Cricetulus griseus: one gene and its partners. The protein of the gene in region 2 purifies or fractionates together with the protein of the main gene of each other region. This does not show direct contact. Links are inferred from orthologs where the notes say so. Each region holds a gene or a part of one and is shown on either strand. Other genes may lie near its edges.

The links.
Region 1: the proteins of Pidd1 (region 2) and Ripk1 purify together in Homo sapiens (affinity purification with western blotting; 3 studies listed by BioGRID and IntAct, with this or other methods). This does not show direct contact. The link is inferred for Cricetulus griseus from reciprocal best matches to the Homo sapiens genes PIDD1 and RIPK1.
Region 3: the proteins of Pidd1 (region 2) and Cradd purify together in Homo sapiens (affinity purification with western blotting; 8 studies listed by BioGRID and IntAct, with this or other methods). This does not show direct contact. The link is inferred for Cricetulus griseus from reciprocal best matches to the Homo sapiens genes PIDD1 and CRADD.

What each region holds. Positions count from the first base shown.
Region 1 is NC_048596.1:253,842,865-253,847,035, reverse strand, and holds the start of Ripk1 (receptor-interacting serine/threonine-protein kinase 1), read right to left. Parts: upstream 2,923-4,171; 5' UTR 2,785-2,922; intron 2,648-2,784; exon of another isoform or gene 2,493-2,647; intron 1-2,492. UniProt on the Homo sapiens protein: Serine-threonine kinase which is a key regulator of TNF-mediated apoptosis, necroptosis and inflammatory pathways.
Region 2 is NC_048596.1:59,739,627-59,743,716, reverse strand, and holds the start of Pidd1 (p53-induced death domain-containing protein 1), read right to left. Parts: upstream 2,891-4,090; 5' UTR 2,562-2,890; intron 2,556-2,561; exon of another isoform or gene 2,408-2,555; intron 2,114-2,407; 5' UTR 2,038-2,113; coding exon 1,728-2,037; intron 1,293-1,727; coding exon 879-1,292; intron 570-878; coding exon 360-569; intron 277-359; coding exon 222-276; intron 130-221; coding exon 1-129. UniProt on the Homo sapiens protein: Component of the DNA damage/stress response pathway that functions downstream of p53/TP53 and can either promote cell survival or apoptosis.
Region 3 is NW_023276806.1:161,323,283-161,326,927, forward strand, and holds part of Cradd (death domain-containing protein CRADD), read right to left. Parts: intron 3,078-3,645; exon of another isoform or gene 2,949-3,077; intron 2,929-2,948; exon of another isoform or gene 2,642-2,928; intron 2,589-2,641; exon of another isoform or gene 2,315-2,588; intron 1,881-2,314; coding exon 1,577-1,880; intron 1-1,576. UniProt on the Homo sapiens protein: Adapter protein that associates with PIDD1 and the caspase CASP2 to form the PIDDosome, a complex that activates CASP2 and triggers apoptosis.

The DNA of each region.
Region 1 (4,171 bases), about 190 Mb from region 2:
TGGAGCTAGGGAAGAAGGCGGGGCTAGGGAAGGCCTCTACTATGCTTTGGGAACATGGTTCTGGATCTAAGCCAGTTTTTCCTCTAGTCTTGTGCTTTATTAGTCTAGTCTGATCTTAGCACAAATCCTCCTTTGGTGGATATTCAATTATTTCTTTCGTGCTTTTATTTTTTTCCCCTTGAATGATTCAAGTTTATGCTGCTGTTTTCTGGCAGGCTGGAGACAGAACCCAGGGCCACACACATGCCAGTCAAGTGCTGTGCTGATGAGCCCCAGTCAACTTATAAGCAGTGTATTTTGAGAAAGCCATGTGGGCAGTGTACTGAGGAAGACCCAAGGACTGCAAAAACACTGAATGTAAGGTAGAAAGCCAGATAATCAGTGCTTTAAAAATTAACTAAGGTATGTTGACCTGTTATAGAAAGCCATAACTAATTTCAACTAATACCATGTCCTTTTCAATGGGATTTGCTAGTGTTTTGGGATAAATGATTATTAATGCAGAAATAGGATATATATATATATATATATATATATATATTAAATAGTATTACATTTGAAAATATATAGTATTTATTTATTTACTATATTATAAATATAGTACTATTTATAAATTATATAAATAGTAAATATACACTATTTGAGTTCAAGCTTACTTAGTGAATTCAAGGTCAGTTAGGACTACACAGTGAGACCTTACCTCAGGAAATGTGTGTGTGTGTGTGTGTGTGTGTGTGTGTGTGTGTGTGTGTGTATACAAACCCCCCCCCAATGGCTGGACTCCCTTTAAACCCAATTAATTTTCTCTTAAATTTGCAATGACAATCATATATAATAAGAGCAGGAGGACAGAGAATCAGGGAATGAGAGAATATCAATTGAGTATTGTTTCCCATGTCTTCCCTAACAGAATTCTGACTTTACTCAGGTATGTGACACGATCAGGAGCCATCTCCAGGATTCTTTAATTAAAACAGTCTGTGCTTCGTCCACAAGCAGGGCAATGAACAAGGAATCAAACCATCAACAAAAGACAAAGTTAGAATAAAATTCAATGAAGCATGATCAAATACATTAGCACACTGTGACCCGTGAACTAATCTTATTAGGACTATTTTCACCTTACAAATAAAGAAACTACAAGTTGAGGTTAAGTGATTCACCTGAAATGAATGGATTCAAACCTTACCCTTCTCAGACTTCCACTCTCAGTTCTCTAATACATGCTGCTTTCTAGAAAGTCAAATAAAAATTTGAAAACCCCAGATGTAGATCAAACCTCAGATGCAAAGACCGAATTGTTGCCAGGCACAGTGATACATGCCTTTAATACCAGCACTAAGGAGGCAGAGGCAGGCAGATTTCTGGGAATTCAAAGCCAGTCTGGTCTTCTACATAGTTAGCTTTAGAATAATAAGAATTACATAAAGAAACCCTGTCTCAGCTGGCGTGGTGGTGCACACCTTTAATCCCAGGACTGAGAGACAGAGGCAGGTGGATGGATCTCAGAGTTCTAAGTTTGAGGCCAACCTGGTTTACAGAGGGAGAACCAGGATAGCGAGGGCTACACAGAGAAACCCCTGTCTTGAAAAACAAAACACACAAAATTAATATTATCCATGTCTTCACAGTAAGACACATATGCCAGAATAATATCCAACCAAAGTGTGGGAAACTATACTTTTTGATTCAATTCCAAGATTCTACTGGTGATATTAACATGTTATGAACTAATAAGTAGTAGAACCATTCCCAGTTTGCAACAGTCATGAAAACTTAACATTATGTACAAGGCTCAAAACAGGAAAGAAAGAGAAAAATGAAAATTAAAGTTGGTAACTGTTACTGCTACTTTTCAGTAATAAAACAAAATAAGTTTCATTTTAAACAAAACTAGTCTTCATTTTTTATATACAGCAAAGCCTTAGTGGTGTCTTCCCAGTGGGTACAAAATTACACGACTAAATCATTACATCTCAAAGTTCACACTGCCATTGAGTTTTCATGAGCTAAGAAAGAATTAATAGCTTTCTAAAGATTGAAGGACTTTTGTGGAATTTCCTGATTAAAACAGCCTCACTCTGCCCCAAATAAATGAGCAAGGAAATCAAAATGACCTACAAGAGGCAAAGAATGAGCCACCCTGGACCGAACCATCCAACCCCAGGAGGCTCTGTCCAACACCGGTGGAGAGGATGTGGCTTATCTTCTTCAGAACCCAGAGGGGGCTGCAGCAATCCACAAAAGCAAACGCCACTGAGGACCAGAGGAGCCTTGGACGTTTGACACTGTTCTCTCACTGAGGACGTGGATCGCTCCTCATTTGCTAGCTCACCTCTGAGATAATGATGAAAGCTACCCATAGCTCTGCAACCCCCTGCGGCCGAAGTACAACGTGGTTGGCAGGTCCAAAACATTTAGGCAACCTTGTTAGAGCACTAACGCTTCCATAACCCATCACCCCTACCAAAAGAATAGTGAAAGAGAAACACCTGTCGCACTGTCACTCCACAACCGTGGTCACGGCGCAGATGTCCACTTTCTGTCGCGACTTGAGCTAAAACCACCTCAAAAAGAGTTCAACCTCCCGCTAGATGACACCCAGCAACTCCCGCGCCTTTCGACTTCCGGGTATGCTGGCGGCCCCGCCCATCACCCGCTTCCGGAAAACGAGGCCCGCCCTCCGGCCCACGCGCTGGAATCCCGCGGTCGCCGCCCCTTCCGGGAAGCCAGCTGCGGAGGAAATGAGCGGCGGACCCTGCCGCGGCCTCCGCGCTGCCTTACCTCAGAGTTACTTTCCTTTTCCGCGGCCAGGCACTCCGGCCCAGGTGAGCACACCGACCCGAGGGCAGGGGCGACAGGAGCTGCGCCTCGCCGTGGCTGCCCAGCCAGGACGGCTCCTGGGCCGTGCGGAGGACGCAGGGACCGAGCTCGGTGCAGGAGTGGCGCCCAGCCGCGCCCAGGCTCACCGGACACCGCGCTTCTCTGAGCGCCCGCGCGGCCCTGCGACCCCCGCGAGGTGAGCGGCACCGACACCCGCGCTCGCGACGCCTCTCCGGGTCCGCTCGTCCTCCTACACCGGAGCTTCGCTGGGTGGGGCGGCGCTAGGCTGCGTCCGCCTCTGTCTCCGCCTCTGCTCACGCCCCGGGGCGGTGAGTGCGGCAGGGCCCGCTGGGCAGTGAGTTCCGCCGATCACGACGGTTCCCACGTCGATCCCGGAGGCCTGCCCGCGGAAACGATGCCAGTTCTGCTTTGCTTTTCGGCTCGTTCTGAGAGAGCCCTTGAAAAGAGGTGCTCCTAGCTGCTCTGTCAGGGCTGAGTCACCCTGGCCAGCTGGAAAACACCGAGTGCGACAGTGGCGATTGAGAGCTGGCAAATGAGCCTTCATCTGCCACGGCGGGCTGTGGAGGACGAAATGTGATTATTTTGTAGCCCTCTGAAATGGTAATTGTGAAATCTCAAGGCCAAAAAAAACAAAAAGTGTTATTACTGGTGTCATTAAGTTGCACGATAATGCAATGATCACTTATTCTCAAAAGATAATTAGTGGAAAGAGAGAGGATTACAAAAGACATGATAAAGAAGTCTTACTAATGCATGCACACAACCACCATCTTAAGAAAATTCACAACCATTTTAACAGAAACCTAAACATGCAGATAACATTAAAAAGATGTTCAATGTCATAGGGCATTATGGGAAACTCACCTTTGACTCAAAGTAAACATAAAATGCCCAACATTCACAAATGGAAGGAATACAGAATGTTACCTTTACGGTTACTGTGTGACTTAGCAGTTTCACACACTGGCATGTACCCAAGTGAACATAAATTTGATGAACAAACACATGTACCTAGGTTGAGCTTTTTTGTTGTTTATTTGGAGGGGCTTGAGGGTGTGTGTGCAAAAGTGCGCATATGTGAAGGCCAGAAGACTACCTCCAGTATCTCCCTCTAAGTACACACCTCTTTTTTTTTTTTTTTTTTTTTTTTTTTTTTTTTTTTTTTTAAAACAGGAAAGGACTCACTTACCTTTCGTTTGTGTAGTAGGCTAAGTATTCTGGTTAGTGAGCCTCAAGAACCTGCCTGTCTTTGCATCTCTGGTCTTGGCATCATGAGTGTCACCATGGCCAGGGTTTTTTTTTTTTTTTTTTTTTTTTTTTTAACACA
Region 2 (4,090 bases):
ACCAGGTGGGGCTCAGGCAGCCACAGTCTATAGCGGATGGTGATGGGTGTGGTGGTGGCTCCTGCTGGGAACTGGAGGCGGACACCACAGGCCAGGGTCACAGAACAGCCATGGGGAGTCACAAGGAAGCTGAGTGAGGAAAGAGGTATGAGGGCAGGTACCCCGATGTGGCCAGGGAGACAGGGTAGACAGATGTCTTCTAGCCACCTTCCCACCGATACCTGTCCAAATCTGAGGTCAGGAATAGCCTGGGCATTTCTGGAATCGGGGGTACGTCTGCACAAGGGACAGGCATGTGGTCAGAATGATGAAATGCCTGCATCCTTTCATAGCCTGGCCACGCCCCTTGCCGAGCCTACCTGGGGGACTTAGGGGTGCTGGAGAGGCCTCACCCAGAGGGTTCCCCTGCAGGCGGACAAAGGGAGCGTCTAGTAGCTCTTCAGGCAGGTCCCGGAGCTGGTTGTCCCTCAGGTCAAGCCGAGTGATCAGTGGCAGGTGGGCCAAGCCAGTGGGCACTGAGGTCAGGAGATTGCTGTGCAGAACAAGGAGCTGCAGAGACCGCAGCCCCGCTGCAGACAAGTGCTGGCTTAGGGTTGGCAGAGGGCTACTCATGGTGGCCCTGGGCACCTTGACAAGACACTCACACTAAAGGCTTCAGGCTGTGTCACATGGTGGGACAAAGATGAATGTGAACTACCAGCAACCAAGGAGGCAGAAGCAAAGTCAAGGGGCCAGCTGGGAGCAGTAAAGTTTCATAGGCCAAGCCAGCCCCAAGACTTTAGGGCTACAGGGACCCACGTGGGAGTGGAGGTCTGGGCAGTGGCCGAGGGGCACTCTATATTAGCTGGTGAACCAAAGCTGGTACCATGGCTACTCACCAAGGGAAGCCGGGAGATTCTGTAGCCGGTTGGAGGCCAGATTGAGTTCAATGAGGCTGCTCAGGTCTCCAATCTCAGAGGGTATGGTGTCTAGAAGGTTCTCAGAGAGATCGAGACGCTGAAGGGTGGACAGGGACCCCAGTGTTGTGGGTAACCTTTCTAGGCAGTTGTGCCTCACAGAAAGGAAAGTAAGGGTGGGCAGGGACCCCAGAGCCTCCGGCAGCTCTGAGAGACAGTTGTGAGAAAGCAGCAACGCATCCAAGCTGTGCAGTTCCAGGATGCAGGTTGGCAATGTCTCCAGTCTGTTGAAGCTCAGGTCCAGATGAGCCAGGCAGGTCAAGTCACTCAGGCCAGCAGGCAGAGTGGTCAAGGTACCATGGAGGCAGGCACCCAGGGCACCCCGGCTCTGGCCCCCTGGAAGTGGGGGAGACAGCTGTAGCCCTCAGAGTTGGAGTCTTAGTTCAGCCCCGATTGCCAGAGAAAGCAGAAGGGAGGATGCTTCCCTTTGAAGCCAGCCACAGGGACAGAGAAAGACAGAAAAGCAGACAGAAAAGACCACCAGTTCATATCAGATGACAGTATCACCCAAGTACAACTGGGATCTGCAGAGACCCAACTGGGCACCTTCATTGTCCAGACTCAGGAGACAGAGCCCAGTCAGCCTTGCTTTGGGGAGGAAGGTGATATAGCTGAGGACAGGGAACAGGGGTGGGGTAGGGGTTCACCCCTGAGGTGCAGGGAGAAGAGAGGTCTGGAGTTAGGGCTGGGGCAAGATGGCCTTTGTGGACCAAGAAGCAGACTTAAAGCAGGGCTAGAGATGAAGATAAGGTCAGTAGTAAGGTTACTCACCTTTGAGGACCAGGGAGCGCAGGTGCAGCAGACTCCACGGAACCTGGGCTAGGGTGTCATCTAGCAGTCCGGGGTCCTCGTGGGTACTGAGTCGCAAGAACTCCACCCGCAGCAGCTCTGGGGGCTGCTGGGAACACAGGTACTGCAGCCGATGGCAGCCCCCTGGACGTATGTCCAAGTTCAACTGGTTCCCAGCCAGGAGAAAAGGTGCCCCAGGCCTGGAATCCACAGCCTCCACAGCGGGTCTTGCAGCATCCTCTGCAGTAGCGGCAGTTTCCTTCGACTCTAGCCCCTCCAACACTGTAGCCATCACCCATGGAAGGTCCTCGGGGACCAGACATGTCCCAGCTTGCCAAGCGAGCCTGCTCAGGCAAGGCTGAGAGAAGCTGCAGAAACAGGGGGAGGAGTGAGCCGTAGGGGGCCAGTTCCTTCTCGGATCAGAGTAACAATAACTCAGCCTCGAAGCAAGGAGCTCTTGAAACCACCCGCCCAAGAAACCGAGGTATAGAGCGGAGTGGCCACTGCAGCCCTAGGACCTACATCTGTGCTGTTAATGAGAACTGGATCTTTCCGCCCGGGAGGGGTACCAGGCAGGGAGACTCTGTGAACAGCTAGACAGAAGAACTCTGCTAGATCAAGGACAAGGGTAATATTGCATCGTGATCCCTGACACCACCTACAGGGCTGTTGTAATAAGGGTCCACCTTCAACCTTCACACTCATTAGTTTGGGGAGGACCCTCTTCCAGTGCAGGCTTCGCTGTGTATGAGAGAGTCAGCAAACAGTGCGAACCGGAGCCAAGAGGACTTTGGGGTCCCGGGGCTCGGATCTCACATTGCGGCCCCTAGAAGAGGCTCTGGCGCCACAATTCCCAATTCACACCTCCGTCAAATTGGGGAACGCAGAGAGGGGCTTCTTTGACGTGCAGTCACTTTGGTGCCGCCTCTGCAGTAAACTTCCCGCCGCCCTCTGAGTACCTTCCACGATGATCTCCGCGCCTCCACAGGCGCGCTCCACGCCGGCTTCCCGCCGGCGCGCTTCCGGGCGGGCAGCGGCTCGAGCTCCGCCCTTCCCTGCTGGCCAGTAGGAGCTCCCTGGAACTCTTGACTCCCGCCTCCAGTTCGGTTGCCCTCACTAGGGAGGCAGGCGTAACGCGTGGAAACTCACACTTTCAGACCTCCACAACCTGAGACCTGCTGTGGCACTGCATAGCCTGGGCCCCAAGTACATTCTAAGGCAGGGATTTGGGGGAGAACTTAGAGAATTATTGCACTCTTTGTTAAAAGCTAGAACTCTGAATGCCCGAAGTGCTGCTAGCACCAAGGGCTTCCTGTGAGAACCCTGTAGGACAGCCCCTCTCAACTTGTGGGTCGCAACCCCTTCGACAAACCTCTATCCTCAAAACATTTACATTATGATTCATAACACTGGTAAAATTAGAGTTATGAAGTAGCAATGAAAATAATTGTCACTATAACACGAGGAATTGTATTAAAGGGTCACAACATTGGGAAGGTTGAGAACCACTGAGTCTAGGACTTCCTTCCCAGGCTCTGCAGTGAATGCCAACTTGTTTGAGCTTGGATGCCCTCCTCACTGAACATCACTCTGGGTCAGCTGCCTAGACAGTGAGTGAGCTTTCTGGCTTTGCATCTCTGAATCCTGTGGATCTCACAAGAAAAAAGAAAAGCCAAAAAATAAAATAAAGTTGAGATAGGACATCTTGCCTAAGTCCTTTAATTGGCAAACATCAAAACCAACACTCAGCATCCTCAACAGAGTGGTAGACTGGGAATGAACAAGTGGAGAGTTTACACTCTATGTGATGGGCAGGCTCCCTGCTAGACCTCCCTGCTTCTATTCTTTCTAGCACCCTACCTCTTTTACACTGTTTCCATAAAGCTGCCAGGAGGATCCTTATAAAAACCAGTTCCAGGAGCTTAGTATAACTGTGCTCACCTGCAAACCCAGTACCTAGCTGAGATGGGAGGACTGCCATCCTGGGCTGCACAGCAAAACCCTGTCTCAAAATCAATAATTGTAGGAATATTACTTAACTTTAAACTTGTAATCTAGGCATGGTGGTACATGCCTTCAATCTGCAAAAGTGTTCTTTACCATTGAGCCATCTCTCCAGCCTTGCTGCGTTTTAGAGTTAAAAAAGAAAAAAATCGCACTCAGGAGGCAGAGGCAGACAGATTTCAGTGAGTTCGAGGCCAGCCTGGTCTCCAGAGCGAGTGCCAGATAGGCTCCAAAGCTACACAGAGAAACCTTGTCTCAAAGAAAAAAAGAAAGAAAGAAAGAAAGAAAGAAAGAAAGAAAGAAAAAATCACACCAAACTCTCTGAGTTTGAGATCAGCCTG
Region 3 (3,645 bases), on a different chromosome or scaffold from region 2:
TTTACCCTGGTTTAGTTCAAACACATGGAATATGTAATTTTCTAAAGACAACCCAAGCTGAAAAATTCTAGAGGCCCTCAAAAGCCAGCATTTTCACTGTTTGAAGAAGACATGTAATTTGGACAAGTTAGGAATAAAGATATTTTTAGGTTTCCCACTAAATGTTTACCAGGTCTTTCTAAATTAACTGGATGTCCCATACTGGTCAGATATCCAGATATATGTCATCAGTGAAAAAAGAATTAGTTGTGATTACTTAGTACATGTGGTCTTGAAATCATTCAAAATATGAGACCCATGGTGTAAAAAATAATAGAAGTAATTTACTAGTAGCATTTGGTTTCTTTAACCAGTTAGTTATGTCTCACCATGTAGCTCTGGCTGTCCTGGACCTTGCTCTTTAGACCAGGCTGGCCTCGAACTCACAGAGATCTACCTGCCTCTGCCTCCCGAGAGCTGAGACTAAGGACATGCACTCTGTTACAGTTATTTAAAAAAATAAATAAATAAATAATAAATAAAATAAAAAAAAAACAATAGCAATAAATTCTGAAGACCACTGACTTGGTCCTGTATCTTTATCAAAAATTCAGAAAATGTTGAATTCTTAACTCTGGAAATATGCTAACTCAGTTTGGATCAGCTGACTTCGTCACCTTTCAGTTATCTTCTTTAAAAAAAAAAAAAAAAAAAAAAAAAAAGTAGCCTTTCTAGGTCAGCCCTCTGTTCCCCAATCATTGTAAACAGCAGTATTTATTAGAGGACTTAAAGGGACAGCTCTATACACACACACACACAAACACACACACACACACACACACACACACACACACACACACACACAGCTCCTTCCTCACGACCAGCCTTACAGCACCAAACTGTTTCTTTTAAAACCCCAACTTCCAATTCTTCTTGAAAAGGAAAATGATATTCTCCCCCAAATTACTGCCCTTGCAAAACAAAATGCCCCAGGTGTCTGATGTCCGAACAAATCTTAACTTTAAAAGGCCATGTTAATCCAATAGCCTTGGGCGGGAGAGACCAAAGCAAGCTTCAGACTAATCCTCTAGGCCTCACAGGCTGGCTGAAGGAACAGGTGCAAGGCATGCCTTCCTAGAGGCTGTCTCCATGATCTGACCTTCTCCAGCTGGCAGCTTGGCACCCCACAAATCAGTTATCTATCAGAAGGCCAAAGCCTGGTTTCCCCATCTGCACTTCACAAATGGCTCCTGTTGCCAAAGGGCTCAGATTGACCTGGCTCTCCTCGGAGAACGCAGAGAACATGCCTCACAAGTAACTTGCCAGGTTTCCCTGGAAGCAGATCTAAATTGTCCTCTGAGCTCCCTCCTTAACCTCCCAGACTTATGGCTCACCTTCCATTTCTGGCCTCCCTTGAGTTTCTTAACACCACCTCCTCATGTTTGCCCCTCCAATGCCATGTTCTTTCCGTTCAAATTCCTTGCCCATTTGTTCAAGAGCCAATAGCCCCCGTCCCCCTTAACACCCAACTTTCAATCCAAAGGGCACAGTTTGGACAATTCCAGAGCTGTTTTGAAGTGATCTCTTTCAGGCCTACCTGTAGGGAGCTCAGTTGTGGCTTCATCTCTTGCCTTCTCCAGCTTCTCTCTTACCCAGGGAAACTCCTGGAGGGAATCTAGGAAGGTATCAAACGCTTTGGGGCCCCTGGAAGGCAGGATATCCAACAGCAGCATTGTTTTCCGGAGGCCTGTGGTTTGGGCTTTGATTTCTTGAACATGGTTTTCTGTCAAAATCCCTTCCTGGTAGAGGTACTGCAGGACCAGTCCCTCCACCAAGACCTCCGCACCCAGCTCCAGACGCAGAGAGCGGAGCACTTGCTTGTCTCTGGCATCCATTTCTCCCTGGAAAGAAACAAAATCAGCACTCGGGTTACAGGAATGCTGATGGACCCCCTAAAGATAGTGTTGCTGCAACATCATTAGTGAGCATCTCAAGGTCAGTCAGACGTTCATATCACTGTGCCAAGCCACAGTGTTTCCTACATGGCTGCTAAACCGAATCAAGTTCATTTCAAACACTTCCCAGCATATGGACAACACTAATTATGAATCCATTTCTCCCTGCTTTCCACATAGCGGGGTCCTACTACAATTCCTTTCAGTAAGAGAGCCAACAGAAAACAGATCTGAGACCTTACTTAAAATGCAATCCCTGGAAATTAATTTTAGCATGCTAGGGAAAAAATGGATTTTAATTTAATATTAATTTCATCGTTCAATCCAGCACCCACACTGCAGTAACTGCTAAAATGGCCAGGGGCATTATAGACCCTTACCTCGAAAGAGGGGTAGGGAGGTGGAGAGTAGGGGAGCGGGGTGGGGAGGGCAATCTAGACATCAGAATGAGTTTAAGGATCTTTCTTTCAGAAAAGACCAGCGCGTTCAAGAAAGTATTTGTGTGCCTTTTACAATTAGCCTTATTTACAGAAAGTCACAGGAGGGAATGCAGGACCTGGGTCACAGTGCAGTATGGGGCGTTTAATGAGCACAGGTGGCTGTGTGGTGGCATTGAAGGAAATGGGAGGGGAAAGAGGGGCCAGCATGGGTGTCGGGTAGGGTTTCGGACGCCCGCGGAGCACAGAAGGGGGACACCGGATCCCAACCTTCCTCACAAGCCTCCGCAAAGTCCTGAGGTGGCCGGCGGGGAGGGGGTGTCCACCCTCCGCCGCGTGTTTCCATTTGGAACTTTCCCTGTCTCGGCAACTGAGAGCCGTCGCTGTGTCACACACGGGAAGCACTCCCGGCGATGCTCGGGGTACAAGAGGCCGCGCGATGATCTTCACGGGGGAAACCGCCACCCAAAGCCTAGACTAGCTCGGGGACCAGAGCCAACTGAACCGAGAGAGCCGCGCAGGGGCGATGTCGCCACAGCGCGGGGATTTCGAGAGAAGATGGAGTCCTGCTACTTACGTCTGCGACCACGTATCTTTAAAAAAAAAAAAAAAAAAAAAAAAAAAAATCTACAACCGGAATCCAGACTGTTAGGGATCCTGTACCGAAAACACCATCTTTGTTTCAGGCAAAAGCCCTGGACAGGAAGTATTGTAGCCATCTTTGTTGAGGGCAAGATCAGGAAGTGTGGTAGCCATCTTTGTTGAGGGCCCATGAGGTCAGGTTGAAGCTTTTTCTACCATGTTTGATGTGGGTAAAAGAGACAACCTCTTCTAGATTTAAAAAAAAAAAAAAAAAAGTAATTTAAATAACATAAGGGATTACCTTAGTGAAAGAGTAAATGAGTCGTTGAATCTTAACACAAAATCTCCATGAGAGCCTTGCACATAATAGGCAGGTCAAAAGTTACAGATTAATTTTGTAACATGAAGTGATTAATGAGCTCATCGATTCATGTATTGGATGACATACCAAAAAAAGATATAACTGCTAATTTTTCTATTATTATGTAGTGTGTGGTGTGTGTGTGTGTGTGTGTGTGTGTGTGTGTGTGTGTGTGTGTGTGTGTATACATGAATACAGGTCTCTATGCAGGGCCGGAAGAGAGCATCAGATCCCCTGGGTCTGGAGTTACAGGAAGTTTGAGCTACCTGAAGTGGGTTATAGGAACCAAATCGGGTCTTCTGCAAGAACAGCATGTGCCCTTACCAGCTGA